3 linked regions of the Rhinolophus ferrumequinum genome follow. The protein of the gene in region 2 binds, or shares a complex with, the protein of the main gene of each other region. Links are inferred from orthologs where the notes say so. Each region holds a gene or a part of one and is shown on either strand. Other genes may lie near its edges.

The links.
Region 1: the proteins of BCCIP (region 2) and TENT5A are in contact, whole or in part, in a crystal structure (PDB 8EXE), measured with the Homo sapiens proteins. The link is inferred for Rhinolophus ferrumequinum from reciprocal best matches to the Homo sapiens genes BCCIP and TENT5A. Residues at the interface, in NP_510868.1 of Homo sapiens: Val57, Asn58, Ile59, Glu60, Phe61, Glu62, Ala63, Tyr64, Ser65, Leu66, Gln146, Val149, Leu150, Phe152, Cys153, Glu154, Lys155, Asn156, Cys157, Glu158, Lys159, Glu163, Lys167, Leu203, Ala204, Ala206, Thr225; in NP_060103.2 of Homo sapiens: Arg87, Gly88, Asp139, Glu151, Gln155, Lys158, Lys184, Glu185, Val188, Gln189, Lys190, Met191, Val192, Lys193, Val194, Cys195, Asn196, Asp199, Trp201, Asn213, Arg289, Lys295, Glu331, Arg334, Gln341, Asn342, His343.
Region 3: the proteins of BCCIP (region 2) and TENT5C are in contact, whole or in part, in a cryo-EM structure (PDB 8EQB), measured with the Homo sapiens proteins. The link is inferred for Rhinolophus ferrumequinum from reciprocal best matches to the Homo sapiens genes BCCIP and TENT5C. Residues at the interface, in NP_510868.1 of Homo sapiens: Val57, Asn58, Ile59, Glu60, Phe61, Glu62, Ala63, Tyr64, Ser65, Arg136, Gln146, Cys153, Lys155, Ala204, Gly205; in NP_060179.2 of Homo sapiens: Asp90, Asp92, Glu102, Gln106, Arg109, Lys135, Glu136, Val139, Gln140, Lys141, Leu142, Val143, Lys144, Val145, Cys146, Thr147, Asn164.

Annotation. Positions count from the first base shown.
Region 1 is NC_046286.1:40,704,808-40,715,184, reverse strand, and holds the start of TENT5A (terminal nucleotidyltransferase 5A), read left to right. Parts: upstream 1-5,774; 5' UTR 5,775-6,047; coding exon 6,048-6,067; intron 6,068-6,275; coding exon 6,276-6,834; intron 6,835-7,946; coding exon 7,947-8,723; 3' UTR 8,724-10,377.
Region 2 is NC_046299.1:5,345,761-5,356,076, forward strand, and holds the start of BCCIP (BRCA2 and CDKN1A-interacting protein), read right to left. Parts: upstream 4,235-10,316; 5' UTR 4,080-4,234; coding exon 3,912-4,079; intron 1-3,911. Other genes in the region: UROS (uroporphyrinogen-III synthase), read left to right, coding at 7,845-7,907, 8,093-8,176, 9,796-9,892. UniProt on the Homo sapiens protein: During interphase, required for microtubule organizing and anchoring activities. During mitosis, required for the organization and stabilization of the spindle pole.
Region 3 is NC_046305.1:47,526,961-47,537,151, reverse strand, and holds the start of TENT5C (terminal nucleotidyltransferase 5C), read right to left. Parts: upstream 4,105-10,191; 5' UTR 3,953-4,104; intron 1-3,952. UniProt on the Homo sapiens protein: Catalyzes the transfer of one adenosine molecule from an ATP to an mRNA poly(A) tail bearing a 3'-OH terminal group and enhances mRNA stability and gene expression.

The sequences.
Region 1 (10,377 bases), on a different chromosome or scaffold from region 2:
CAAAATGGTGCTAGCAAAATGGGTATATACCATTATTAAATATCTCTGAAATATTGAAAGCTCATATAAAAGAAATCAATTATCAGTGACCAACAAATGTATCAACATAAACACAAAGTAAGTATTGGCTGAAAAAATATCAGAATGAGCTGGATATACCCATAGAACATGGCCTTTTTTTCTCACAAGGTATATAAACATTTTTGGCCAAATTTCTTTTAGAAAAGAGGAATAATGCATTATATTCCCTCCTTGAACCCTTCTCAAAACTTTACAAGCACCATAAGTAAACATCAACATTTTCTTCAAAGAAGTTAAACATTCTTCCAGTGCAAACATGCAGAAGGAAAAACTCATAATACAAATATTTGGGGAAAAGGAATTTACTTATTTACATTTGGTAGTTTTTGAAACTATACATGTATTTCTAATTTACATTTTGTACGTCTCTTTTGTTTGGAGTAAGCAAAAGAGTCTGGTCCATGGGACTTGTAACATTGATTAAAACGGCAAGCATTTCACTAAGATGTCAAAAACAGGAAGAACTTCTGGCATAATCAGCACTGATAGTAGCAAAAAAAAAATACTGGCAAGTCTTTCTGATGAAGAACTCTATTAAAGTACAATCTATATCGAGTTTGATTTTAAGAGTGATGATATAGGTCTGTCTACCATATTTTTGTAGCTTGCATATTGAATTTCCTAAGTTCACTGATCTGACAGTGAATAGAATTATTTTTATGTGGTCATAGACTTCAAATAAATATTCTTAAAAATAACATCTTAGGAATTTACACTTACAAGATACTTAATGTTAGAGTAGCGATGCTTTTATACGATGTTCATAGGTGAGAATGCAGCCTACACAAATAACCCTCTGTATAGCTAGAGGATCCTGTCAAACTGAACTATTTATTACTGATTGTTCAACTCCACTCATATAGATGTAACATTAAACAGTGGGGTCAAGAGAGAAAGCGTGCTAGCCCATAATTGAGAGCAACTGAGTCTAACTTTAACTTTTCCATAATTAGTTATATAAACTTGGGGAAAATCACCTAGCCTTTCTTCATCTCTCTAAAATTAGGACTGCACATTGATCAGAATAATTTTGAAGATAAAATAAGATAATATAGAATAAAAAGGATTGAAAAGTTTAAAACTATAAAAGTTAACCTTAATTGCTAATAACCATACAAGTAATAAGAAGTTGGACTGCTATTTCCAAACTAACCTAGAAGTTATATAATTTAGGATGTTTCTGGCCTTCGATAAATCCTGAATAAATATTTGTTATTTCCCTGAAGAAGCATGGGGAAAGTCACTTCACAAGCACCATGTCCCTGTGAAAACAGGTACAGTAGTCTCCCCTTATCCACGGGGGATATGTTCCAAGACTCCTAGCAGATATCTAAAACCACAGATAGTAATGAACCCTATATACTGTTTTTTCCTGTACATACGTCTTCTCTTTGGCATATTTGAATTGCCAGTATCAGTACTCTTGCGTTTAGGGGCCACTATTAAGTAAAATAAGGGTTACTAACAGCAGTTTTCTATGCACTTCTCTTTTTCTCTCCTTCTGGGTATGAGCTTGGGGGAATCATTTCATATTTGCTTCCTTATCTTCTAAAACCATTTTTGAGAAGATAGGAAGCAGACAAAGCAAAATGGGAAAGGTAGTGCCACCGTTAAATGCACTTGGGGCAGTCTCCAAGCCTCACACTCCTTCAGCGTCAGTGGGGTTTCTTGGAAGCTCTCTGTAAGGCTGGTAGCTTCCTAGCTCTCTACTATTTTAGAGACAGATCGTTCATGGCTAGGGAAGAAACTCCCATAAACCCAGTTAGCTTACTGTGCATTCTGGCCCTCAATGGTTGTTTCAGGATAAAACACCTTGGTCTTCAATGTTGTGTCCGATCTGAACATTCAGAACCTGGAAAAAAAAGGAGCAGGGTGCAGTTCCAGTTCAGTTTTAAGTGTAAAAGGAAAGTGAGAAGACAGACTCAAGAATGAAAAAGGGACTAGGAGGGCAGCCACGTGCTCTAAATCAAGGCTCTTTTCCTTCTGTAGGTTACTTAACCTTTCTCTGCCTTATTTTCCTTATCTGGACAATGGGAATGTAACATGTAAAGCTCTGATATTTGAAGAAAGTTGAAAAGAAATAATGTATATAAAATACTGAGCCTGGCACATCATAACAAACTAAATAATGGTAACCAATTTAAAGGCTAAAATTGAATTTCTTATTGTGCTAAGTCTGGACTGATTGGATTGTTACTATACGTTTTAAATCAAAATCAAGTAATTATAAGTGTTTTTTTAAATTCTCAAAAATGTATGTAAAGTTTCCTTTTAAGAATTTCAGGTAGAGACTCATAGCATCATACTGCCATAGATTTTTTTTCCCCTTTTAAATAGGGAAAAGTAAATTATTTACCAAATAGGTTCAGAAGCTAAAGCCGGGGGGAAAAAATGCAAGTCTGCACCTAAATTTAATCTGTGCTGAGCAATTTCTTGGCTGTGAATGTGTTTGGAAAGTATAAGCTTTCTCATGTGATAATTATTTTGGTTAGCTAGAAGAAAACTAAATGCTTAAAATTGCAAAATTTGCAATTTCATGTAAGGATGAACATTTTTTTCCTCCAGAATGTAAATATGTCAGTTTGAAGACAGGGAGAAGAAGGACAAAGAATAACAGATGCTTTCATTCAACAATTTTATTGAGTGGCCACTATGAATCGTGCACACATGAATCCAGTCAAAGCATCAAGGCACTGCCAAGAGTAAGATAACCCAGATGTCCTAGTGCAAGAGTTGGTAGGTTCTGGATTATGGAGATTTTGAAGGATGCTGTGAGGGGAGATCCTGGTTGGGGAGTAGGGAATGCTTTGCTAAAGGGTTAAGGAAGTGTCAGTCACAAGCTCTGGTAGCTTGGGAGGAGGGTCTTGCCCCACTGCTGCTAGAACTTATCTTTTCCCCACAACAGGGTCTGACGAATAGCAGGCCCTCCATGTGTGCCTCATGTGCTACTTCAGCCTCTCAGCTATGTGCTCCATTCCTGGGAGGGTCCCTAAGAGCAGCCCGGCAGAGAAGAGCAGCCTCTCTTTGAGAGAGGGTCCCAACCTAGAGAACTGCAGTGGCTCTCATCAGTATAGTGCAAAATATGGTTGAGCCCTTGTGTCAGGATCACATGCGCAACTTGCTAAAATGATTTCTTTAGCCCCACAGAACAAAATCCTGAGCGTACATGAAGCATCGGTGCTCACTAGCTGACTCTTCTGTTTTTTTTTGTTTTGTTTTTTTTTGACGAAGAGTTAAAATCAAGTACAAAATAGTGGTAGTGGGGTTAAACTTTATTTTTTCAGCTCAGTGTACCTAATATATGATCTACCTCTTTGGCCTTGTTTTAAGGGGCAGAATTTATATTGGCCTTTGAAAGAAACATTTTTAACAGGCCTCCTCTTTTTCTTTCAAATCTGTTTGCTATTTGTACTTGTCTTGCCTTCCAGTGAGAAGGTACTGGTAACAGACATCCCATTCCTGAAAATGATGGCTACACAGCACTCACAGCCAAACGAGTTGGGTTTAAGGCCTGACTCCAGCACTTATTAGCCATGAAACTTGGGCGAATCGCTTCACGTCTAGGTTCTTCTATTTTCAAATCCCTATGCCATAGATTACCTTCTCCTTGAAGAGTAAATACGGTTTTATGTCTAAAGAGCTAAGCAGAGTATGGCCTAGAAGTGCTCAATAAATTCCTCGAACTCCCACAAACCTTATCCAAATGCACTACTGATCTCATTTTTTACCGTGGTGGTTTATACATCTTCAAACATTCTCGAATTCTCTTATACTCTTCCCTTGGTTGATAATGCCTTTCTCCTTCCTCAGCTATCCAAGGAAAGTTCACTTTTCAAGATTCTACCCAAATAACCTCTCTCTCTCTTCTGGTCTTCTCTCCCAGTTCCCCCAATCCTAGTTAGCCCACCACTCCTTCTCTCATGACACATATACAGTTGAACCATAATTATGGACTTGCCTGTCATGCCCACGAGATTCTGTGAAACATAGTCATTCTTAAATCCTCAGCACTCAGCCTGGTGCCTGGCAGGTCATAGGTGGTCAAACCATAGATACACATATATGTAATTTTGCTGAATGCCTGGATAGAATGAATGGATTTAAGCGTAGATGGTTGGACGGGAATACGTGTGTGCTTTTGGAGAGGCGATGGCCTATGAGAACTGTGTGGTTTCTCTTGGCTTCCGCCGTTTCCAGATCGCCCACATTGCTGAAGGGTAATGGCTACCTTCTAAGGTCCCGCCGGTTTCTCTGCTTTGGGACACAGCTCTGCAGGGCACCGGCAGGGGGCGGCGTTGTCACACTGCTGGATGTTCCGCGGGTGACCGTCCCCTCCCCGGACCCCACCAGGCGCGCAGCTTTGGTGACCAGGCCCGGGCTCCCCCAGTTTAGAGGGGGCGGTCTGTTCTCCCTTCCAGGCTGGGCGGCTGGGGTGGCGCAGGGCCACGCGAGGAAGTTTCCAGCTTCCCGGCGCTCTCCCCTTCCACCCCACCTTAGCCTCACGGACCCTCTACGTAGAAGAAAGTTCCTCCTAGTTCGGGAAAGGCAGCGAGCGGCCAGAAGAAAGGGTGGGCAGAGGGCGAGCTTTCTAGCAAAGATGGTGGTGCGAGTACGGGTGGGGATAATCTTTACACTCCTTTCGCACCGCCGAAGCTCGGGGAGAAACTCTTTTATCCTGTAAACACGCACCGTGACTAGCAAACTAGCTCATTCCCACTGACATTTGTTTTCACTTGAAAAAGGCAAACCTCAGCGCGGTATTCCTACCGCGCTTTGCCTCCTGCGGTTCTCAGTAACAGTCGCGCTGCGAAGTGTCGGGCTCCGCGCAGGAGCCCTTTGCGCGCCCCAAAGGCCGCGCGCTACCCGCGCCGGGCGCTCTGGGCCCGCCCCCGGCCTCGGCCTTTGGCCGGTGGCCACCCGGCCGCCACAGCCGCCCGGGAGTCCGCTCAGTGACGCGCGCCGGCCAGGGCTCTGTTCCGGCCTCCCGGAGCCGCTCGTGCGCAGAAGTCGGACCCACGCTCGCGGCCCCGCCCTCGCGTCTCCTCAAGCTCGCCCTGAGCTTCCAGGCGCTTCCCGACGTTTCCAGAATCGAAACCCAAGGCGCGAGCCCCTCCTCTCAGGCGCAGCGACCGCTTTGAATGGACAAGTGGACTCATGAATTCACCCAGAGACCGGGTTTATTAATGAAGTAAACCGTCTAGCTATACAGTACATGGTGTTTAACAGGGAAGTCGTGAAGAACCTCTGGAGCCCCATCATCTGTAAGAACCCACCACATCTGGCGAGAATTTTATGTTTGGGAAGTTTCTGTAGTTGCGAGGTTTTAGTTATGTTCCAGTTTTGAGGACCACTTAGGACCCGTGAGACATTTTTGTCTCCTCCGTTGGGGAAAAAAAAACACGCATGGGCGAGGGGGCTGTATGTAAGAGAGATATATGTATAAATACACGCACGTAATATACGCGCACAAGTACTGCCACTGGCCTGGGGCTCTGAAAACCGCTTGGCTGGGCCCCGGGGGCTCAGCGCGCGGGCAGCTCCGCGCTCCGTCCGCCGGCGGGCAGGGGCGGCGCCCTATGCAGATGAGGAGGGTGTGGCGAACGCGCTGCGCCAGGGCCCCGGAAGCGCGGAGAGGCCCGGTATAAAAAAAGTACTGAAGACGTTTCCCTCGCATAAGTGCTAAAGCTCCAGAGACCGGAGCGTGTGCGGCGGCGGCAACAGTAGTAGGAGCCGCCACCTCTAGGACCACCGCAGCTGAGACGGCAGCAGCGCGGGCGGGGGCGAGAGGCGGGAGTGGCCAGCTCAGGCGGCTGGGGTCTGGGAAGGACTAAGTCGCTCGCCGCTGCCTGGAGCGCAGTCGCAGCTCCTGGAAGTGTTGCCCCTTCGCGGTTCCTCGCTCGCTGCGCTCCTAGAAGGGGCGGCCGTCTCCAGGTGACACAGACGGGACTCCCGCTTGCGCTTTCCAGATGCATCAGAGATACTTTTGGTGCGGGGCTGCTCTGCGGGGCGCGGTGCGCGCGGCTGGGGACAGGAGGGGCTGGGGAGGAAGAGTCTCAGAGGAGTCAGTCCCCAAGTCGGTCAGGGAGCGAACCGGGGAGGGGGCGCGCTCTTTCCTCTACGGGCTCCTGTTCGCAGCCAGGCGTCCTCACCTAGCTTCTTCTCCCCTCTTTTTTTTTTTTCCTTTCTTCTTTTAGGACCGACCAGGGCCAAGTGGCATTCGGCGGGCACTTCATGGCGGAAGGCGAGGGGTACTTTGCCATGGTCGAGGACGAGCTGGCCGGCGGCCCCTACATCCCCCTGGGCGGCGACTTTAGCGGCGGCGAAGTCGTCGTCAGCGGCGGTTTCGGCGGGCATTGCTTGGACTATTGCGAAAGCTCCACGGCGCACTGCAACGTGCTGAACTGGGAGCAAGTGCAGCGGCTGGACGGCATCCTGAGCGAGATCATCCCGATCCACGGGCGCGGCAACTTCCCCACGCTCGAGCTGCAGCCGAGCCTGATCGTGAAGGTGGTGCGGCGACGGCTGGCGGAGAAGTGCATCGGCGTCCGCGACGTGCGCCTCAACGGCTCGGCCGCCAGCCATGTCCTGCACCAGGACAGCGGCCTGGGCTACAAGGACCTGGACCTCATCTTCTGCGCCGACCTGCGCGGGGAAGAGGAGTTTCAGACTGTGAAGGACGTCGTGCTGGACTGCCTGTTGGACTTCTTACCCGAAGGGGTGAACAAAGAGAAGATCACACCACTCACGCTCAAGGTAAAGCCCCCCGACTTGGGCTGGGGTCCGCACCCGGGCTGGGCTGGGGTGCGGCGGGCCGAGGGAAAGGGGTTTTCAGAGGGACTTGTGTTTGATGCCACAGATCTGCGGCCGTGACAGCTTTGGGCGCGCTTATTTACTTTGCTTTTGATTTAAAAAAGAAAAATGAGTCAAGTAAGGTGCGTGGAACAGTGTTGAGCGTTGTACTTGACTTGGTGCTTCAGCGCCACAATTCTTCTGCTTCCTCCTCTGCCCTCCCTCCTCTTCCTTCTCCTTATTTTTTAACTCTTGGCTTTCCTTGCTTGAGCCTTGTTCAGAGTAGATTCTAAGTGGAAGAATGAAATGATGTAAATCATTTTTTGAGTCATTTTATGATGTAGCCTTTGAGAAAATAGCAGCCTGAAGCAGAACCAAGTCAGTGAGCTTATTGTATTGGAAAATGTGAATAGGTTTCCTAGCTGCATTTAGCTGACTCTGTGTGTTTAGGATAAATGTGGTGCTTCTCCGGGTTGGTTCATTTGTTAAGGTATAGTGGGTCCCCCCTCCCTACTTTGGTTCAAAGCGCGTTTTATATGTTTAGTTAAAATTGTCTGAGGAATCAGCCTCCCAGAATGTCCTAATATAGTTCATTTTGATTGTAACTGCTGAGTACCCCTAGAAGGACAGACAAGATACTGATCACATCTGTTGCCTCAGGGGGAGAAGAACTGGGTGACTAGAGACAAGGATGAGAGGCAGACTAACTTTTCACTGTATCCTCTTCTGTCTTTTGATTATTGTGTGGATATTGTGTGAATGTTGTACCTGTAAGACCATTTTCAAAAAATAACACTTCAAAAGTCAGACAAGACAACAGAACCTCTCAGTCCTGTGCTACATCTGCCAAAAGCCTCAAATTATTACTTCTAGTCTCCTTCCCAGACTGTAAAACCACTCGTTAAATGTATTTTTTTTTCTGTTTTCGGAAGACTATTTAAGCCTGTAGGTAGTGTTTTGCTGAAACTTGACAAAACAAAAGGGAAGGAGCAAAATGAATCTCATCTGTGAAGACGTATTTATTTATGATCTTTTCTAGGTATGCTTATCTTCTTGTTTTATCTTTTGAATTGTAGGAAGCTTATGTGCAGAAAATGGTTAAAGTGTGCAATGACTCTGACCGCTGGAGTCTTATATCCCTGTCAAACAACAGTGGCAAAAATGTGGAACTGAAATTTGTGGATTCCCTCCGGAGGCAGTTTGAATTTAGTGTAGATTCTTTTCAAATCAAATTAGACTCTCTTCTCCTCTTTTACGAATGTTCAGAGAACCCAATGACTGAAACATTTCACCCCACGATAATCGGTGAGAGCGTCTATGGTGATTTCCACGAAGCCTTTGATCACCTTTGTAACAAGATCATTGCCACCAGGAACCCAGAGGAAATCAGAGGGGGAGGCTTGCTTAAGTACTGCAACCTCTTAGTGAGGGGCTTTAGGCCTGCCTCTGATGAGATCAAGACCCTTCAGAGGTATATGTGTTCCAGGTTTTTCATCGACTTCTCAGACATTGGAGAACAGCAGAGAAAACTGGAGTCCTATTTACAGAACCACTTCGTGGGGTTGGAAGACCGCAAGTATGACTATCTCATGACCCTTCATGGAGTGGTAAATGAGAGTACAGTGTGCCTGATGGGACATGAAAGAAGACAGACTTTAAACCTTATCACAATGCTGGCTATCCGGGTGCTAGCTGACCAAAATGTCATCCCTAATGTGGCCAATGTCACTTGCTATTACCAACCGGCCCCCTATGTAGCAGATGCCAACTTTAGCAATTACTACATTGCACAAGTCCAGCCAGTATTCACATGCCAGCAACAGACATACTCCACTTGGCTACCCTGCAATTAAGAATTATTTTAAAATGTCCTGTGGGGAAGCCATTTCAGACAAGAAAGGGGGGGAGGGAAGGCTGAATGACCCAGCCCTGATTAGGGACGTGTTTTGTGCAATGATGATCTGCTCCTGGTTTTAAGCTTGGCAAAGCTTGTGGATCCTTTCATAGGTATGGGAGCGTGATCTCCAAATGATCCCCACCCACCAGCAACCTACCCACCCGGTCCTCCTATCCAATTGGATTCTATCCTGAAACAAAAGAGACCTGTCATTCAAAGCAAACAGGTTCTCCTAAAATAACATGGGAAAAAAATGCTTGATGACAATATGGGTTTGCAGTACCTTGCTCCCATAGCTTTGCCGTAAGAAAGAAAAGTGAAGTTTCTCATAAGATGGAATTCACAAAAGGGAAAATAGAAAGGATAAAAGGTTTCCCCTCAACTTAATTATCAAATCAGAAATTCATATAGTAACAACACAAGAAGAAGGGGAACTCCGACATTGGGTTTACTACCTGAGGCTTGTAGCAAGTACTTTCTGTTAAATTATTCTATTGTGCTAACAGAAACGGCTTGCTCTAAATGAACAGTAGTAGGTTGGTGCAGTTTTCATAACAAACAGCAGAACTATGATGACACAATCCATTATTTCCAGCTGCATGCATAGCTCGCATTTTTAAAATGTGAAAATGCAAGCAAAAACAGCTGTAGCAAAGAAAGTAATGCTCAAGGACCAAAGATTTAACAGATAAAAATACCCAAGTAGAAGAGATATAGTAGAATATATAAAGAGTTACTATATTTGTTACACGCCAATATACATCAAAGTGCCTGTTGCCTTTTGAAAATTTGGAGTGGAAAACTTTTAAGGTTTAATGATTATTTTATTTTATCAGGGACTAAAGAAGAAAATAAAACAACACATAAGCTTGTGAATGGTGGAGGAAATGCCCTATTTTTTCTTGGCAAATACTTGTATAAAGTTAACATTGTTGGTGTGACATTATCATAGATACATATGTATGTGTATGTATATTATGTGTGTATATATTCATATTTGTGACGAATATATACACACAAAACATTGACTATGGTCTAGAATAATGTAGCAAATAGGAAATGTTTAAATACTGTGTTTTTATGTTTTCAACAGGATGACCTGAGATGTGGGCATATTGCATTGATGAATTAAAACCCACATCTAAAAATATTAAAGCAAATGAAGGAGGAAAACAAGTAATATATTTGATAGGAAGAGCAGAAATTATACATTTTTAGTGAGTGTTTTTCCTTTTTATGTGAGCCATAGAATTCCACAAATGGGAGAATATTTGTTTGGCAGAGCACTCTTTTTTTTATACTGAAGTGCCATTTTGACAGTTTGAACCCTTTTATTTTTTTGTAATACTTGCATGCTTCCATGGTGTATAATCCAGTGGATCATTGATCAGTGATAGTCTATTTAAATCCCTGACTGCTAAAAATAACTTCTGGTGATCTGAACACTACTTATTAATATTTAAATAAATTTTTTAATGAATGCATTCTGCATTACAGGACCACTAGAATTTAGTAAATGTGAAATGACCCTTTTTAAAGAGTATTTGCACAATTGCCTAAAATTTATATATGAGATATATATTATATATAAAATTTTATAAATTCATGCC
Region 2 (10,316 bases):
CTGGGTAAGTCCCAGCAGCCACGAAGGGGAAACGACTGACCGGACTGCAGAGTAAGGGTGAGCAAAGATCAAAATCATCTCAAAAGTCCCTGCACTGCCTAGAGCCTGCTTCAGCCCACGGGTCTGAGGCTACGCTTCATTCACTTGGCAAATACGTCTTTCCTAAGTACCATGCACCAAGCACTGTGCTCGGCACTCGAGATGAAAAGGTGAGCGAGCAAAGCAGGCGTGAATAATCCTGCCCCCATGGAGCTTATGGTTTAGGTGGAAATGTAGACATTAAGGAAATATTCAACTAAATATGAAGCTGCAACTATGTGAGCTATAAAACACAGGTGCACGTGTTATAACAGCTTGCGAAATAGGAGGTCAGATAGCAAAGGAAGACTTCCCTTAGAGGAGTGACATTTGAGCTGGGAACTGCAGACAAGAGCTCCTGGCATAGGAACAGCGCGTACCAAGGCCCTGAGGTCAGAGGAAATACAGTTAGTACAGGAACTAAAAGGTGTGTGTAGCCAGGCTCCCTGATCTGTGTTGGCAAAACGACGACAGAATCTAAGAGGTGATGCCACTGACATATCCCATAATAAATGAATGGATCGCTTCTCTCCACTAACAAGAGCTGAGAAGCTTTCAAACGCTACACAAGATCAGCCCTTGAGGATCCTAAGTCAAACCTTGGTAAGTGACACACCAAACGTGGGGCTCTGAGGAAAAAGTGTATTTACACACACTTCAAATTTCGCAGGCTCTGCAATCTGGGCCTTAGCTGAAGGGGGCCATAGAGGAAAATGAGACCTCCTTTTGCCTTGCCATCCTGATGTGCATATATCTAAGCGTTCCTTGGCTGTTAACTTGCCAAGGCCTGGATATCAAGGCCAGTTTACGGACTTCAAATCCTGGCTCTCTGAAGGAGGCTCAGCCAGATCACGTGAACAGCAAAACCCTGGGAGTTGGGTGGGGGTGCTCCAAACAGGGTCAAACCAAAGCAAACAACCAACTGTCACAATTCATGTCTGGAATTACTCCTTAAAAAGAAATAAATTCTGAAATAAAGCTCTTCTACTATTCTTTCCCTTATCTAGACAGAAGCCGCAGACCTGTCTCAGGCCATTATGGCACTGCCATTGCAACACACACCAAATGGATTATCTGCCCAGCACCCCTTTCCCTTGGTATGGGCCCCCACCCATATGGTTTCAGGGCAACAGTCATCTTTGTAAAACAGAGCCCTGCCACTCACCCCCAAGTGACTTAGTTTAGAATTAAGACTAAATGTGGCATCTAGCCTGCTTGCTGTTTTGAAAAAAGTCTCAGAAGCTGTTGGTATTTTCTATTTTCTGCTATACAGAGTGGAAATAGAAAGAAAACCAAATATTCTGAATGTAGCAGAGATGACAACTGTGAAGGACATCTCGGTTTCTCTACAGCATTCCAGGCTCCAGGACCCAGTCCATTCCGGAGGCCCAGCGGCTCTCCTGCCCTTGGAAGTCTCCAAGATGCCCTTACACCCTTACCACAAATTCCCCTTTCTGCTGAAGTATCCTCCAAGGTTTCTATTCAGCACAAACAAAAGTCCTAACCACATGACCAAAAGGAACCTTATCGAAACATGCCTTGTCCAATTCTTCTCCTTCTCACTATCCCCACCTGTTTCTTGGAATTCTCTTTCTGTTGCTGCTCAGCCAGCTGTTTCAAAGCCGGTCACCCTGTCCTTCAAAATCAGGCTCTTTAGAGCTTTAAAAAAATATAAAAAACTGCACATTTCCTTCGTTAGTTATATCTTGTCTCAAAACAGATCTGGGCAGATTTTGAATTTCAAAAACAATTCTGACAGATTTCTACATCAGGGAAATGAAATGTGGATGAGTGACCATCTCAGAAAATAAAAGCCTCCTTCAAATAAATAAAGGAATCAGTATCTACTAACTGCCCTAAAAACCTTAACAATTTCTTCAGTCAAAAAAGTAATACGTCAGTGGTAAACACTACAAAGAGTGTAGAGGTTAGAGAGTTCAAAGTCTTATTTTCCCACGCCCCCACTCTCCAGAGATTACTGTCAATAGTAAATTATCCTTTCAATAAGTTTTCGACACATACAATCAAACATATTTTGTTTCTTCTTTCTCTCACACAGGGTTCACTACACATCCTGTTTTCATTTAACCTGCTCTGTATCTTTGGTAGTAAAATGGTTAATTACTAACCTCGTATAGTTGAAGTAAACATTAAATGAGTCAATACAAAGTGCACAGAGCCTGGAACATCATGAATTACTATTATTAAAGTAGAATTACTGAGTCAGGGGATGTATTCACTGTAAAATTCGATGGATATTGTCAAACTGCTCTCCAAAGAGATCGCACAATTTACACTCCCACCAACAGTGTATGTAAGTGCCTACTTTCTTACACGATCAGCAGTGATAGTTATTACACAGATTTTTAACTCTTGGCAGTTTGACAGGTTAGCCATGTTAATGCAAAAAGCACTGATTTCCATAATTCAAAAATAACAAAATCAACGGTTCAAGTTCTTTTAATTGAAAACTGGTGAGCCCAAGTGCCAGATGAGGGGCCGCAGTACAGAGCTGCTTTGTGAGGGGACTCTGTTCACGGGCGGATGTGTCACAGGCCCAGGCCAGGCTCGGCCCTGCATCCATGCTACTCTGTATCCCCCTCCACGGCCATTCTGACTCACGCTGATCTCTGACTTTATTTCCCCTCTCTCTTTCCTGTTTATTCTGATCCAGCCACACTGACTGACTTGCTGTCCCTCAACCATGAAGATTTCGAATTTTCTTACAAATGCAATGGGAAGTCACTGGAGCGTTCAGTGCAGGGGAGTGAGGACAGACATACGTGTTTAAAAGATCTCTCTGGCTGTGGATGGGGTACAGATTGTAGAGGAGTAAGAACGGAGGCAGGTGCGCCAGTTTAACACAACTACAGTACCGCAGGCAAGAGACGATGGAGGTGTGCATTATGAGGGTTGTAGAACCGACGATGAAAAACATCTGGATACCGAAAAGGAAGGTAACAGGATTTACTGACGAGCGGGATATGGGATAAATAAAAGGAATTAAATTTAAGTTTCGGGTTACGGGTTTGAGCAACTGGTGAATTTGGGAACCATTTACAGAAATGGCAAAGAGCAGGAGCCAGGGCACACATTACAAATTGTGCTTTGGAGGTGTTCAATTTGAGGTACCTGTTAGCCATTCAGTGGTTGTAAGGATCACTTAGTCCTACTTACTCAATAAATATTACGTGCCCACAATGCTATGGCAGGAGCTGTTCTAAGGAACCCGGTTCCACGAGAACGTACCCCCGGGACTTGGTGAGATGGGGAGGGCAGCTTACCCGTCACCCCCACCCGCAGGCAGAGACGAGACAGCTTGGTTGAGCCCCGAACAGGGAAGGGAAAACACGCAGGATGAAGAGCATTGGGAAAGGCTCCTGGAAGACGGGAGCAGGTCTCAAGAACCGGAAAGGCAGCCGCTGCGCGGGAGGCAGGCGCCGCCAACCAGGCGTTGGGGCTGCGGGGTGGGCAGAGGACGATAAACCCTGCAGCCCTGGGCAGCCTGCTGTGGGCTTGGGGCTTCCGCCCGGGAACTGGGGAAAGTCACGGGACAAGCGCTGTGCTGCTCTTCTCTGGGCGGGGGAGGCATGGGGCCGGGGCCGACCTGGCTGGCGTGGGGCGTTTCAAAACAAATTCTGTGGCTGCAGGGTGGAAGAGACAGCAGTGCAACTTGACTAACCACCTCTTACCATCTCAAAATTCAGGTTACAGACCCTCAGGTACTGACCGCGAAGTCAGGACTCCAAGCAGCGCACACGTTCACACGCCCTGGGCGCTCAGAAAGCTCTTCCCCGGATACAAACCACACTGGGGCTGCGTGTGCTTCTCACCTCGTCGACGACCTCGTCGTCCTCATCCTCGTCTTCGTCACTGTCTTCACCGTCTTCGTCCTCGTCCTCGACTTCATCTTCCGCTTCCTCCTCAGGCCGCGGGACCCGGGAGTCTAGCGGCCGCGAAGCTCCACTGCCCACAGCGCGCCGCTTGGGCCTGGACGCCATGTTTCCGGCCTCACTGCGCCTGCGCCACGTCCCGACGCCTGCCCTTCCGGACTCATCCACACAGCCCGAGGGGGTGAGAGATCACACAAGGCCTCGGCGCTGAATCGGCGACAAGGCCAGGGCCCCTGCTGAATTCCACGACCGCGATCCTTCAGAGTCAAGTCCATCTTGGAGTCCTATCTTGGCCTTTTCTTCCTCCCTCCATCTTTCCTTTCCTCCTCCAAGACTCTCCCTCCCCTTCGCGCAGTGTGGTTCGACCCATCTCGGTGGCGTCCCCCCCCCCCCCGCCCCGGGCCTGGATGTCGAAGCGCATGCGCGATCACCAGCTGTGCGCAGGGCGGGTTCCACGACCCGGGGTTGCGGTGTCGGTGCCCGCAGTCCACGCGCAGGTCGTCGCCATGGTAGTGCAGGCCACGTGGTGAGGGTGCCGCCCCCCGCCCTGCTAATCACTCCCGCATCCTCAAAGCCTCCTGGTTGGCATCGCGAGATACCGCGCCTCCGGGGGACTGACCAGGGCCCGCGCCCGCCGGACTGGGCACGGCCCGGGCTCCTAGACCTTTCGGGCCTCACCAGGCCGGCGAGGTAGGTGTCACCGCCCTCGGTACCGACGAAGACATGGTGGGATTCAAAGACGAGAGGTCCTTATTTTCATCCTGCTCCCAACCATTACAAACCTGGCTGTGGACAGGTGATTTCACCCAGAATTACATTAGTAGTTAACGTTAGTGGTAACATTAGTAGTTAACCTCGCCACTGCTAAACCCCCAAAACCACCGCCGCCGCCCAACCTACTGCGATGGCCTTCCTCGCCACAGAGGCCGGGGTGTTTCTGAAGCGTAAGTCCCATCGCTGCCTCTCTCGACTTAAACCTTTCAGAGAATTACTATTTCTCGTGGAACCCAAAGTCACCTTGTCCCTTGCACTCAAGCCCAGCATACCCGTCTTTCCTGGGGACACCAGGGACCCTTTCTGACACTTGAACATTTCTCCTGATGGCTCTTGTCACTCAGATCGGAACTCTGATGTCACCTCCTTTAACTCTCCTCACTGCCATTGTCATTCAGATGTCACCTTCCCAGAGAGGTGCCCCTGGGAAGTAACTAATTATCGGCACCCCAGTTCCCTCTACCACATGACCTCCTAGCACTGGGTAGTACTTGAACTTGTCCCCCACCCCCAGTAAGGAATGCACACCCTGAGGGAGACTAGGTGTCACTGCTGAGCACTATTTAGAAACACCTCGGTGAGAGATCGGCCCTGGTATTTGAGAGCATTACTAACATATCCTTTTGAAAACTGTGGGATCTGTATTTCAGAACCTAGAACCATGGCGGGGTCATGGGAGGGCCGAGAAGAGATTTGTGGCCAGAAGATTCCCCGCTTCCAACAGCAATAAGCTTCCACTGTTTAATCCCACAATAGTTGCTTTCTTTGTGCCCTGGAAAGAATTACGCGTTAGCCGAAAATGCCAAGTTTTACCTGCTACTCAATGACATAGCAGATTTCTGGAACCCCCAAATTGGAAGATGCATAGTCAGGGTTCAACCAGAGAAACAGAACCAGTAGGGGATATATATATTAGGAGACTTAATGCAACTCTGGGGGCAGGTCTGAAATCCATAGTGCAGTCCAAGGAGAGGGCAGGACTCGGGCATGAGCTGAAGCTGTGTCCACAGGAGGAATTGCTTCTTCCGCTGGAAGCCTCAGTTCTGCTCTTAAGGCCTTTTCCCTGACTGAATCAGCCCCATCCAGATTATCTAAATTAATCTGTTTTACTAAAAGTCAACTGATGGTGCCCTTTACCATATCTCCAAAATACCTTCCAAGCAACACTTATTTCGATTAGCATTTGAGAATGAGTGAGGACTCTAGCCTCGCCAGGTTGACACATAAGACTCACCATCACGAAAAGGTAGATTCCTAATTTCTGTTTGAGACACAGTCTCAGTAACTTCAGGAAAGGAGAGAAATTATGCTGCCCGCTTTCCCAAATCCCCAACCTCTCTAGCTAACAGCACGACAGCAGCAATAATTGGAACTTGATTTCATAATTAGTATGTGTTCACCCAGGTTTGGTTGCTTAGATACAAAACAATTCATTTTGAGCCAAATTTTCCTAAGACGTCCTATAGATATTATAATGTTTTGGAAATACCGGTGGTGCCAAAAAAAATGTATACACATATCTTGTATTCATCTTTTGTTACCGGTATTTATTATTACAATTTTAATACAGTTTTTTTTCCTTTCTTAAAGTGTGTATACATTTTTTGGCACTCTCTATTTTCAGTAATAGCTTATAAGTAATGGTTCCCAGAGGTAACACATTTCTGCTCCGAGCAATACACCCTGTTTGACTATTACCAATTGCTGTACTATGTTTATTAGGTAATTTGCTGGCAGGTCTAACGATACGTCCAGGATAATAATCTGCCCTTTTTTCTCCAGTTCTTTGGCAGCATTTATTTTGAGGCCTCTGGGGGGTTATAATGTGCTTTTCTCTCCTCCATACAAAGGAATTTAATGTTTGTTGTAAGAAAAACTTGGAAATACAGAAAGAGGTAAAGAAGAAAATCATCACCCTAACCTACCACCAGAAATAATTACTATTAGTATTTTGAAGCTTATTCTTTCATATGTTTATGTATAAAATCTATAAAATCATACTATTTATGCAACTCTGAATCCTGATTTTTTAACTTAATATTATGTTGTGATGATCTAATCCATTTAATTAAATGATTACTATTTGAATGATTTCATATAACTGTACCATAAATTATTTAACCATTCTCATTGTTAGACATTTACATTGTTTCCAATCACTTACAATTACAAAGACTACCAGGATACAAACTTGCAACTAGTAATGAATACATTCTGGGGATCTAATGCACAGCATAGTGATTATAGTCAACAATACTGTAGTATAAACTTCAAAGTTGCTCAGAGATTAGAGCTTACTTGTTCTCACAACAATAAAAAGAAGTGATAATTTGGGGACATGACAGAGGTGTTAATTAATCATATTGTAATATGTAAGTATCAAATCTGCACGTTGTACGTCTTAAACAATATTGTATGTCAATTATATCTCAATAATAAAAAAATAGAATACCAGGATGAGCAACTTTATGTTAATCTTTGCATATATTTATGAGTATTGCCTTAGTGTTTATTCTTAGATATGAAATTACAGGAAGAAAAGGTATGAAGTAGATAAGGCTTTTGATATATACCGATAAATTGTTTTCTAGATTGTCAGAACATATTTTTGAAAGTTTGTCTCATGATACTTGACAACATTTATAAAACGTAGTTTGAGAAGTCAATATAATCATTTCCTAAAGAGCTTGTGAGTAACTTAGCCTATATAACTTGAAATGGAAGTAATTATTTATTTCCTTAAAATACGAGACACCCATTTCTCTATTTGTTATTGACACAACCCAGAATTTGCCTCACTTCTCTTCTGTGAGCCTTAAATGTTTGACTAGGACATTGGCTTTGCCTAATGGCTTTCATCTGCCTTTCCAGTGGTATCAAGTGCCAGCATGCTGTTCCTCGGCCTTATCAGGGATGAGTCTTCTGAAGGAACAAGCCCATGAGTGCTGCTGACTCAGTGTGCAGGGGGTAGGTGATGTCAGCCAGCAGCGATTACCTCCTTCCCCGTGCTCCTGGCCTCCTGGCCTAGGAAGACTTTGCGATCTAAGTAAGGTCTGTTTCCCTGCTGTCACAGCGCCCTGTAAGGACTGCCAGGCAACAATGAAGGTTCTTTTACTGAAAGACGCCAAGGAGGATGACAGTGGCCAGGATCCGTACATCAGGGTGAGTGCCCGAGACTCCTGGTCCCGGAAAGCGCAGCACTGCCTTACCAGTGAAGTGGGGGCGGGGGCGGAGGGTGCTAAAACCGAGGAATTGGCACAGAATAAGTTGTTCATATGATACCATCACCCTTTCCTTATTTTCCAAACCACCCTGGCCAATCCAGAACTATATTCTTTTATTTGCAGGAATTAGGATTATATGGACTTGAAGCCACTTTGATCCCTGTTTTATCATTTGAGTTTTTGTCTCTTCCCAGTTTCTCGGAGAAGGTAAGGTCTGTCATTGTCTGAGCACCGTAACTTCTAAGTGTGATACATTTAGTTTCTGAGACTCTGTGCCAACCCAAGCCAAAGGACTTTGTTACTTCCCCTCATTTCAGTACCAAACTTCAAAACAGGGCAGCACAGCCCCACTTAGCGTCAGGATTGGGCTGCTGTTGGCTTCTCGGCCTGAGCCTCCTCCATCAGCTCTTCCAGAAAGCTGCCCTGGCTTGGACTGGGTTCTGTGAGAAGGCCCAGGAGGGCAGGTTGTGGGGAGGGCACCAGAGCTGCACTGTCCTCAGCAGTTCAGACCTTTCCCACGCATCCTCTGCTTTAACCCACCCGCCCCGACCTATGCAAAGTGCAAATTGGGGTCCCAGGCTGGGCAACTGAGCGGAGGCCTCCAGCAAATAAGAGGCAGTGTCGGCACTCGAGACCAGGACATGTCCCCACAGCATCAGCTCTGCTGCCAGGCCTGGGAGGGACGATCCCAGCAAAGCCTGTCAGGTATTTCAGGCTGAAGAGTCAGTGCCCAGGCAACCCCACCGCTGCGCACACAGACACCCCAGGGCATCTCCCGGGAGCTCCTTTCTGGACGCGTGGGCCAGGAGCCAGGTGGCTTTCATGGAACCAGGGCGCCCGGCCCTGCTCACCGGGCTCCACGGCCCGTTACCACCAGGTTCACCCTCGGGCTCTGCACCTCACAGCCGTGCCCTTCACGCTCTGAAAAGCTTCCTGTTCTTTCCGGTTGAGCTGAATATCAGTTCTTCCTTCAATTCCACAGACATTGACTTGGGATTTATCATGTTCCCATGCCCTGGGTCTGTGTGCTGAGGGAATGATGTAACAGGGGCCCGAGTTGGCATGGTCTTCTGTACGCAGCTTTAAAGGGGAACCGAGGCCACATCACTTGAAATCAGGAGCCTGTCCCTCAACACCAGCCACCCTGCTCCACAAGGGGTTCTCTGAACCCTCCATCAGGCCCCCCGGGTGTGCAGTGAGCACAGGCCTGGGGGTCCCCGGGGACGCTCACCTCGGGCTCACCTCGGGCTGGTTCCTCAGCCTCTCCAAGCCTGTGTGCATAAGCTATGAGGAGAGCATAGAACCCCCACCACCCCCTCCCCGATCTCACAGGGAACTTGGACAGGTTCAGGGAAGGGATCTGTATGAAACAGCCGAGCGCCTGGCTCAGAACAAACGCTCAGTCGATCTTATCACTGTCATTTTCTTTGAAAATCAGGGCTTCAGCGTGGATAGCACCCCTTGAATATTCCAGTTCTATCACACATGCAGGTCAGGTCTCCCCTCCTGCCCACGCCCAGGCTGAGACCCGTTGCCCCTCTGCTCTGGTTACATCCACCACCCTTCTCTGCACCTGCTTGTGTCCCCCTCGACTGAGCTGCTTGAGGGAGTGCCAGGAGTAACGGATTCATCTGTTTTCCTAAGGCCTAGGGTAGGTGCAGGCACTGGGTCAGCTCTCAGTCAGTACTGAGCGGATGCGTGGAGGGATGGACGAGTGGACGCGGGGCATGACTCAGTTGGCCTGCTACGCCTCTGAGCATTTGGAAGTCTGGGAAATGTTGAGCTGAGCCATCACATAAATGCCTTTGTTGTTGTCTGGTGTGCAGCTGTCTCATCCAGAAGATTATGGAGGGCTCATTTTCACCAGTCCCCGAGCAGTGGAAGCTGTGGAGCTGTGTTTGGAGGAAGACAGTAAAACTGAAGGTGAGGCTGGGTCTGCTGTGAATTCCACTGGACTTCTCTTCACTCTGGTTTCTCCCCTTGGCAATGCGATTACATTGGTGCAAAAGTCACTACGGTTTACAGGGTTAAAAATCATGGCAAAAACCGCAATGACTTTTGCACCAACCTAATAGATTGCAGATACAGGTACTTCAGGTGTGAAAAATTGCAGTCACTTTTAGCTCAAGAAGTCCTGAGGTACCAGGTTACTTCACATTTGTGGAACCTTTGGCGGGAGCAGGAAATGACCTTTCTCCTCGTAAGCTGTGTCGTGCTGTCCCACACAGAAGGACATGCCAACTTGTGAGTGTCCTGATGGGAGTGAGCACTTCGCGGGGCCATGTCACACACCCTGCCGTGGGAAACGGGACACACTGCTGCCTCCTAAACCCCAGACAGACGTAAC
Region 3 (10,191 bases), on a different chromosome or scaffold from region 2:
TACGGAAGGAATGGCATTAATTTGTTCAAATATTTGAGTAGGTGTGCTGTGAGGCACAGCAGGGCAGTTGGGAAGACTCCTCCACAAGACGTCAAGAATAAACAGTAGGTCAGAAAGCTACAGGTCCTGCTAAGACGCTCAGCCTCTGGGGGGTTGGGCAGTTCCCCTGAGTTGTGACGCTGGTGTTCCAGGCCCTGAGGACTAGGATTGGCCAGGGGCGGGGACAGGAGCTGGTTACTGCTCTCATCGAGTTGCTGTCTGTAGGGCCCTAACCAGGTCAGTGATGGCATGGGAAACAAAAAATTAAAAAGACAGAGAATCAGCAGAACTGGCCACCGCTGCGAGCATGTGGTGAGAGAGAGAGGCTGAGCGAGCCCTGCGAGGCGGGTGTTGGGGGGATGGACAGCATAGGAGGCACTTGCAGGAAGCAGGTCAACAGCTTAAGGGGTTTCAGCTGCTGGCCAATTGGTGGCAACTGGCCCTCAGCTCCCAACCTACACCCCGGAGGCCCCCATTTAGAGAAAGGCCCAGAAGCCACCCTGCATTGCAGGCTAGGAGCTTTTGCTCCAAAAGGCTCCAGCCCCCTGGCCCACCAGGAAGACACCTATTTAAAGCAGCCCCCCTCTTTGAGAGGGATGGCAGGCGGATGCCAGCAATCAGGTATCCAGTTACCAGGAGCACCTTCTGCGCGGCTGGCCCTGCTCTCGGTGCCGGGGGCTCCACAGTGAGCACAGATCCCTGCCTTCCTGGGGCTCACATGCCGGTGGCTAAGATGGGCAAGAGAAAGCTGAGAGCCTGAAGGACAGTGGGAGGCTGAGCCACCTCCAGACCATGCCGACAGGCCTTTGCACACACCACCCCCTTTTCTCCTCAGCACAAAGCCACCTAGGAAGCACTGAACCACCTACCAGCTCCATCACTTACCTAAGAAACACTCTAGGCAGTTTAGTGACCAAGACCCCCAAAGGCTCCAAGACTGAAAACACCCTGCAAACAGCCGACACACAGAGTTGCTGAACTTCAGCAATTGTTTTTTATTAGTTTTCTCCCGTTGTCCCAAGAAGTTCTGCAAACAAGGCTAGCACAGGCTATGGGGTCCGGCTGTACAAAATCTATTCATTTTAAACAACTCCTAAGGCTATTTCTTACATAGCTGGGTTATACAAAGATGTTTCCACTACACCATTTAAATTCCAAATAGAAGCTTCCGAATCATGCGAGTCGTGGAAGGATAAAAAAGTCTGAGCCCAGAAGTCCTGGAAGCATCTCAAGAGATCAACACCCGTGATGTACCCAAGTGGCTTGAACACCTCTTTAAATACAGAGGTGCCTGCTCCCCCATAATATAGCTTATGCCAATCTAACGTGCCCCAGGCAAAACACCAAGCTGGCAGAACGTACTTTTCTGTATTGCCTTGTTCACCTGTGACCATGCACACACAAAACAATGAACCTCATCCAACCAGAGGAGTAATGTTTTCTCCCAAGTAACACCTCAGACTCTGCACTACCTGCCCTTCACACACACACCCCTACAAAGCAACAGATACAGTCCAGTATGAGACCAAGAAACCCAAAGACGGCCCAAGTTTAACTCACAAAACCAGTCTTGGCTTCCCCAACTTCTCTCGGTAACACAAAGAAAGGTTTACCGCCTCCTCTCAGGGCTTTGGATTGTCATTCTTAACTGACCCCTTGCACACAATACATCAAAGATGAAAACCAGGTACTACTTACTTGGGCAGTTACACAAAGGTCATTTTCTCAATTTGTATCCAGTGTGTCTGGTTACTGGCACCGGGAGAACAAGGGCACTACAGTCCCCGCTCAGATTATCTTTATTGCCAGGCAGTTCCCTGAACTTTCAAAAGCAGGAGGACCTCTCTGTACCCTGGAGCACAATCTGCTCCAGCCTTGAAGGCTGGGGATGGAGGCTGAGAGGGGTGCTCTCAGGAGATGCCAGGCGAGAGCTTCTACAAGTCAGGATGGGCTTGGGCCCTGCTCCTCTGTACTCAGAGGAGAGCAGAGGAATTAAATAGGGGGAGCCTCGGGAGCTCAACTAAATCAATCAGGGACCTCTGTTTTGGGTAACGACTTAGGAACCTGGCAGAGAAAAAGGATATTCTGGGACTCTCCCCACAGCTACCTGAACCAATTCTATACAACATACACCCAAACCTTCTTTCTAAAAACTCCTTATTGAGAATAAATGTATTCTAAAGATACGAGTATACCTGAAGACATAAAGTTTCAGTTATCTCAAGTAAAAGCTTCACTCCAAAGATAGTAAGTTTTCCATCTTCACAAACAACAACAGCAAAGGACAGATTTCCTGCTGGAACAGCTCAGCCTGCTTCCCTGAAAGCGAAGAGAAAAGTCAGCGTTCTCCAGTCCCCACCCCACCCCCTGGAAACCGGCAGGGTCTCAGGTGCGGCTCTCGCCCTGCCAATACTACTTCTGGGGATTTAAGACTCAGCAGAATTCTTGGTAAGGACTCCTACCACCCTCACCTTGCTTCCTTGCCAAATCACACACGTTGAATGGTTAGTGTAACCAACAATGGCCCCTCTCATTCCGGTCTTGGAGGGCAGCTGGGCCAAGCCAGGAGTCTACTTCAGGAGGATTTAATCGTCTTAACTTCATTTCCTGGGGAGGTTCAGGTTCCTGACCCACCTACCAAATATCCCGAATACCAACTGCCACAATACAAATGATTACATAGTCTTCATAAACCCTTACAGGAGTAGGTGCACTTTAAGCGCTCAGTTAGTGGTTTGTATGTGATAACTCCTTTAAAAAAAAAAAAAAAAACAAGTTAAAAAGGCAGCAGGTCCCTAGTTAAGGATTTGGGCAGCCCTTGCAGAAAGCCGAGCTCTGGACCCACAGGAGAGGGGAAGGGGACTCAGCTGATCCCTCCCTCGGGGTCCAGCCCGAACAGCCGGTTCTAGTGAGCATGGGTCAACTCTCCTTCTCCAGAAAAACTCGCCAGGCGTTTCTCCGAAGAACCCCCCTAACTTGGAGGAAGCGCAGTTTGTTTTTTATCGCCCGCCGGCGTTGTGTTTAGGTGTCCAGGCTATCAATTTGTGCCCTCCTCCGACTCTTGTCCCACCTTAGGGATCTGGGCTGCGACACCTCCCGGGGCCGCGGCGCCTCCGAGCCACCCACGGCACCGCTAGCCCAGTCAACTGACTGTCATGGCTTTGCGTCTACCCGGTAAACAAGTTTCATTTCTCAAAGGGGAGGGACCAGGTCGCAGACACCGTATTCCCGAGAAGCTGCCGAGAGAAGCGCAGCGCACAAGCCACTCGCTTGGATCACTTGGCTGCTCGCGGTGTCCCCCGTCTGGGGCGAGTCCAAGAAAAGTGAGGGATCTCTGCCCTCTCCTCAAAACCCCGGCCCTAGCACCCAGCCTGGGAAGCGCCCTCTCCTCCCGGTCCTGATACCAGCCCCCCACCGCTGCGCCTCCCGGAACCGCCGCATCGAATTCGCGGGCCGGCCAGGCTGGGAGTGCGGGTGGGAGCGCAGGTGCGAGCCCGAGCGACCGCAGGGAAGGGAGGGGAGCCGGGCGCCGGCGGACACCTGGCAGGAGCCCAATGTCCCCATCACGCACTCTTCGGCCGCCCCGCCGCCCCGGGAACGCGCGGAACAGGAACTCGCTGAAGTTTGCCAAACCCCGGCCGAAGTCTCTGGAAAGTTGCAGCTCCCTCTCGGAGCGCCTTCGGGCCCACGGGGGCAGGGAGTGGGGGGGGAGCTGTCGTCGCGGGAGCTGCAGGGGAAGGGAGGACCGGGTCCCGGCACCTGTCCCCCCCCTCCCCGCCCGCCCCCGCGTCCCCATCGGGCTCGGCTAGGACCTGAGCTCAGCTCGCCTGGGACAGACCCCCGAGGGCAGGGTACGTGGTTCCCTGGGGCCGCCGAATCCTCGCACCTGTGCGAGAGGGGGCCCTGGACTCACCTGGGTGGCGGAAAAGGAGACGACAGCGGCAGGTCTTTGGCGTGGGCAGCCTCAGCTGGCGCGGCGCGGTCACTGCAGCCCCCAGGCAGCGGCACTGAGTGAGCCGGCCTGCCGCCGCCCCCTTCGTTCTTATACCCGCAGACACGCCTCCACCCGCCGCCACCTCCCGGGCCCCCGCCCCTGAGCCTGCCTCCCGGGGCCGGGAGGGCAGGGGAGGAGCCAGCGCCCACGGGATCCCTCCGCCTGGGCGCTGACGGCCAGGGTCCGGCGAGAGGTGCCCTCTGATTGGCTCCTCGGGTGAATGGTTGCCGAGAGACGAGTAAATCTTCGGCGTCAGGAAGGGGCGGGGGTGCCACAGGAGGTAGCACCGCGCAGGCGCAACAGGGAGGGGGTGGGTCGGCACCCCCTTAACTTCGGAGTTAGCGGGCCTCCCTTACTTTATACTTTACCCCATGCCCTTTTCTGCCGTTCCTGCCCCGTAACTTTTCCCATCTCTGTCCAGCTTCCCCGTAGGCTTGTTTTTCTTCTGCTTGTCTGGGAAGTTTCTGGTTAGTTCTCTCCAGGACTGGAGAGTGAAACCCCCACGCCTACCTCCGGTGTGTGTTTTGAAATCGGAAAAAACTGGTTTCTGAGCCGAGGAACTTTCTTGATTCCCCAAGCAAATTGGCTGGAGGTCATTGGGGCAAAGGGCCCACGCAGTTGGTACTCTGGCCGGGAGTTAACCACCTGTGTGCAGTTAGTGGGACTAAGGGCCTCGAGGAATCCATCGCCATGCCTGGCAACAGGCGACAGCTTCAGCCCTACTCGGAAAGTCACAGGGCTCAGGCGTGTGTGTTATGTAACATCCAGGCGGGGCCTGGGCACCACCCGTTCGTTCCATACCAAGTGGTTTAGAGTCCAGGTTCTAAATTCAGATAACCTGGGTTGGGATCTGCATTCACTCCCTATCTGTAAGGCCTTGGGCAAGTAACTTAATCAACCCTCCGTAAATATCCATCTCCTCACCTGTAGGATGGGACTAAAAATGGAACAGCCTTACAGGGTTATAGAAGTATTAAATAAGAAAATGGAAAGCTATTAGTGCCTGATAAAAGGTGCGTGGTAAATGTTATTTATATCAAACTGTAACTTATTTATCAAGAAACACTTCTTGAGCTTGTACTGCTCCTCTACGGGATGGTAGGGGAAAAGTTTCCCAGGTGCAGTATTTCCCTACCCCGCCCCTCCCATTCCTGCTTGAACTAAGTGTGGTTTCAGTGTCTGCCAGGATATAAAGAGTTCTCAAATATATGCTTCCCTGGGGAGAGGGAGGTCTCCTGGAACATTGAGATAGGAGATCCCTATGAGTGCTGGTAGGAAAAGCCACAGTGACTCCATTGTGGGACATGAAATCAGGATATACTGTTTTCAATTTTTGTTTTTGAGGTATAAATTCAGTAAAGGGCACAAATCTTACGTATACGGGATGAATTTCTGCATATGTGTACACCCATGTGACTGCCTCCCAGATCGAGTCATAGAGTCTCCAGCTTCCTCGTGTGCCTTCCCACTCAGTGTCCCACAAGGGTGACCACCATTCTGACCTCTATCACCACACGTTAGCTGTACCAGTGTTTGAACTTGATATGGATGAATTACATAGGATGTGCACTTTTGCGTCTGGCTTCTTTCCCTCAATAGCATGTCTATGAAATCCGTCCATGTTGTTGCGTAGAACAATGGTTCATTCTTTTCCAATGCTGTGAATTATTGCATTACACTGGGGGTGCCAAAAAAATGTATACAAGTGGACACTTTGGTCAGTGTTGCTCAAGCAGTAGTTGGCCGTAATCAGAAGTGTCTGGATGCTGATGGTAACCTCTTTGAGCACCTCTTCTACTTGCAAAGGTCGAACGTGACTTATATTCATCTCTTGTTATCGGTATAGAACGAGTATTACAATTTTAATACTTTAGTCCTTTCTTAAAATGTGTATACGTTTTCTTGGCACCCTCTGTATATTCAATAATTTATGTACTCTTTCTACTGGTGGATGTTTGGTTTGCATCAAGTTTTTGCCTGTCATGAATGAAACTGCTTACAAATAATCTTTTTTTCCAGTTTTATTGATGTATACTTGACAAATAAAAATTGTATATATTTAAAGTGTACTACATGATATTGTGTATATATATATATATATATATATATAAAATCACAAAGTAAGTTAATTAACATATCTGTCCACCACCTCACACACCGTGTGTGTGGGGGATGGGTGAGAATGCTTAAGTATATAATACAGTGTTATTATAATCACCAGCTGTACATTAGATGTCCAGAACTTACTCATCCCACATAACTGAACCTTCATCCCTCTGGCCTACAAACATTCTTGTATGTGTCTTTTGGTGGACATAAGCATTCGTGTTTGTTGGGTTTATACGCAGGATTAGAACTGCAGGATCCTTGAAGCTTTCAATAGACTGCCAAACAGTTTTCCAAAGTGGTGTGACAGTTTATATTCCAGCAGTGGTATGAGATTTCCGGTTGTCCCACATTTTAATCCTGTGTTAATATTGTCAGTCTTTTTATTCTAAAAAAGGGGGTGTGTATTTCACTGTGATTTAAATTTCTCTGATAATCAATAATGTTGAGAAACTTTTCATATGCTTATTGGCCATTTTGAGACCCTTTTAGTGAAGTGTCTGTTGAACTCTTCTGCCCATTTGTAGGCAGTTGTCTGTCTTACTGATCTATAAGAGATCTTTATATATTCTGGATGTGAGTCCTTTGTCCAATATAAGTATTACAAATGTCTTCTCCCAATCTGTGGCTTTCTTTTCATTCTTCTATTGTTATCTTTTGAGGAACAGGAGTTCTTAATTTTAAAGTCTAATTTATTAATCTTATTTCTATGACTAGTGATTTTTATGTTTAAGACCTCTTTGCCCAGCCCAAGGCCATAGAGGTTACCTATTTTGTTTTCTTCTAGCATTTTGATTGTTTCAGCCTTTACACGGAGGTCTGTGATTCATCTCAAATTAATTTTTTGTGCAGTTTGGGGTCAAAATTCATTTTTCCCATCTGGCTATCCAATTAGCTCGGCACCCCTGGCGAGTAGTTTTGCTGAATGAATGAATATTTGTTGAACTGAAAAATTCAGTTAAGAAAACAAAGTGATTGGTTACTTAAAATCCAGAGTGTCCCTAAAAATCCAGGATGCGTGATCACATTCAAATTAATGCAAAATTATTACATTACACATTTCTACTTTTTCAGTATCTCATGGACACCATTAGCACAGGGAGCCTCAGGGTCGAACACGGGTCAGAAATTCTTACCTAGAATTTGATCTAGCATGGTTTGGTTCTACCTTTGCTTAGGTAAGATTTTGTCCAACTTCCCGACCACGATGCAATTCTGTGGTAGGGAGGAGAGGAGATCCAAAGCCCAGAAGACAAATTCATTATTCATATAGGTGTATATATGTTTCCTTGGGCCCCTTTTTAATTTCTGGAGCATGCCTTGACTTTTCTAGCATTTTGTTTCCATTGTTTTTGTTTTATTTTGTTTTGTTTTTTTAAACACAGTGTTCTTTCTACCTCATAAAACTGTGGCACCCTGGAGCTGGAAGGCTTCTCAGGAAGTCACCAGCTACTGCCCACTGGATATAGACCCACGTAGTGAATCTGTCCTTCCGAAATTACCGGAGCCACTTTCTTGCCAAATTCTGGCCTCTGCTGGAGCACATCCAATCAAAATGGTTTAAAGACCTTTGCATTCTAAGTGAGTCGTTGGTGTGCACCTAGGAGAGCGGAGGAAAAGAAAGCAAAGGGAAGAAATAATGCAAGTGTGCCTCACTTGTGGTCATGACCCTGAAAACGTTTTATGTCTCAAGAGAATCTTATTTTAAATGCCCAGGCAAGCAAAGAAATTCTATCATTAATCCTTTTTGTAAGGCAAGAAAAAAAATCTTTTGTGTCGTGCCCGGTTATCTTCATTTATCAGTTTCTTCAGTCTGGAGTTTTTGTATTACTTTATCTCAAGGTGGATCACCATGATAAGCGTTATTGGAATGCCCTGCTCTAATATCTTATCTTTCTTAAAATGATTTTTAAGCAAAGTGGTTTTTTTTTATTGCTCTATGTTGGCTTAGAGAGAAGTGCACAGAACCACACGAGCACAACTCAATGAATTTTCAAAAATTAAACAGCACTTTGTCAGGAGCACCCAGACTGAGAAATGAAGAAGCGCTCTAGCACTTGTGGACCTATTTGCGCCGCGGTCTACATCGTGGCAAGACTCTGGTGTGGGCCTAAGTGTGACCTGGCTTTCCCCCTTCCACCTAGAACTCCCGCCGGGAAACCCATCTCTTCTCAGGCTTCTTCAAGCCACTATTTTTTTGGGTGTAACAGAAAGAGAACTAGGTTTGGAGTAAGAACTAGGTAAGGTGTACATTTTATTTGGAACAAAGCACAGGAGGACTGACTGGTCAGACCTGAGGGGGCAGGGCAGAGGGAGCAGGCTGCGTCCTTGGGCACAGCTATGGCAGCAGGCTCAGGTATAGCACAGCAGTGGGGACACTGGAGGACCAGGGCAGCAGGCAGGCAGTAAGACAGGGGTCCAGAAAGAGAAAAGAGGATAGGTGCCCAAGACGAGGGTGCTGACTCATCCCTCTGAGTGCCGTCTCTGGACTCGCTTCATACCCACCACCCTAACAGTGCCCGGAGAAAAAAGGTAGGGTTGAGTCAGATGGCTTGTATCCCTGTCAACTGGCTTCCCCTCTCTGCGTCTCTGCTTCCTACTCCCAAAATGGGAATGAACGTTAGGCTCGCTGCTTCACGGAGGTGTGTGCTGACCAAACGAGGGAGTGAAGCCATGTGCCAACACTGGGCCCCGTTCACAAGAGTCCTCTCCTTGCCAACCTTGGGCCCTTTTTCACTTCACGGTCAGGACAGCTTGCCAAGCAAGTCGGATGAGAGCAGAGGAGGGTGAGTTCTCAACACCGTGCTGTGACGACCTTCACTTCTGGGGCCCCAGATTTCTTATCTGAGGATTATTGTTTTCAAATCTCCCTTCAGGGAAAAGGGATTCCGTGAAAGTGTAAACTGTTAACGGATCATTTCATCTCAAGTCGGACCCCTGGATCCATTCTGAACCTGCCTCACCTTTAGGCCTTGGATGTCTCTCTCGCCAGCTGCCATACTGCCTGAAACTTTCACCATGGGAGTCCGTGCCTGCTGGGAGAAGGGACGTCGCCACTACCACACAGCTTGCCAGAGGACACGGACGCCCCCCTGCTAGGATGGCTACCTCGCCCACCAGGTGTGCTTCTCAATGTTCAAATGTTGGTCTTCCAGTCCTTATACTGGTCCAGATTTTAAGTTGTAAGTAATCAAAAATGACTCTGAATGACTTCAGCAAAACAGAATTTCTTTCAGAGATGTCAGGTAGCCCACAGAATCAGCAGGATGGCTGGAGAACTTGGCCACGTGGCTCTGCTACCAGGAACGAGGCTTTAAAAAATCATCCTGGAGGTCCAGGGACAAGACCAGGAACTCACCCTGTTCCTCCACTGCCCCTGGGAGCTGGACGTAGTTGGCACCACCACCCTTGCTGCCACCCACTGCTAATCAGTCTTTATATCCCTGCGTCTTGCCCTCAGCGTAGCTTCTCATTCAAAATCTGGGTGGGGGCATCTGATCGGCAGAGCTCAGATTGCGTGCCCAAGCCATGGTGACGGAGAAGGCTCAGAAACAGAGTTTCTGATATTTTCAGCTCTAACTCCAGGAAGTGGGCTGTGCCTGTTCAGGTAGGGGATTCTCCAAACAGCAAAGCAGGTTCAGGTGCTGGGTGGCCAGAATATGTACCTCTTCTTTCCAGCCTGACATCCATCTCTTGCGCGTGTCACTTGAACGAATCAGTATCCTTTCCTCCATGTAGCTCTGGGTCACAGAGGCAGACAAGTTTCTGGGACCTACCACTTGGAGGACCGGGAACTGGACTCTTGAGAAGCTTCAAGGAGGGAGGCCATCCAGCTGTCAATACCCTCTGCTTCTGGCCAGGTGAAATTTTTCTTCTTCAAAATTCTTAGACACTAAGTGGATGTCCAGTGAAAAGGACAGAGAGAGAAAAGAAAGAAAGAGTTCTTGGATAACGTTACCATTCCCCGCCAACCCAAGTCTCAGGTTTCATTTCTAGCTCTGTTCTATTAGCCACTGCTCTGTGCCTCTGTTTCCCCATCTGTTTTTATATAT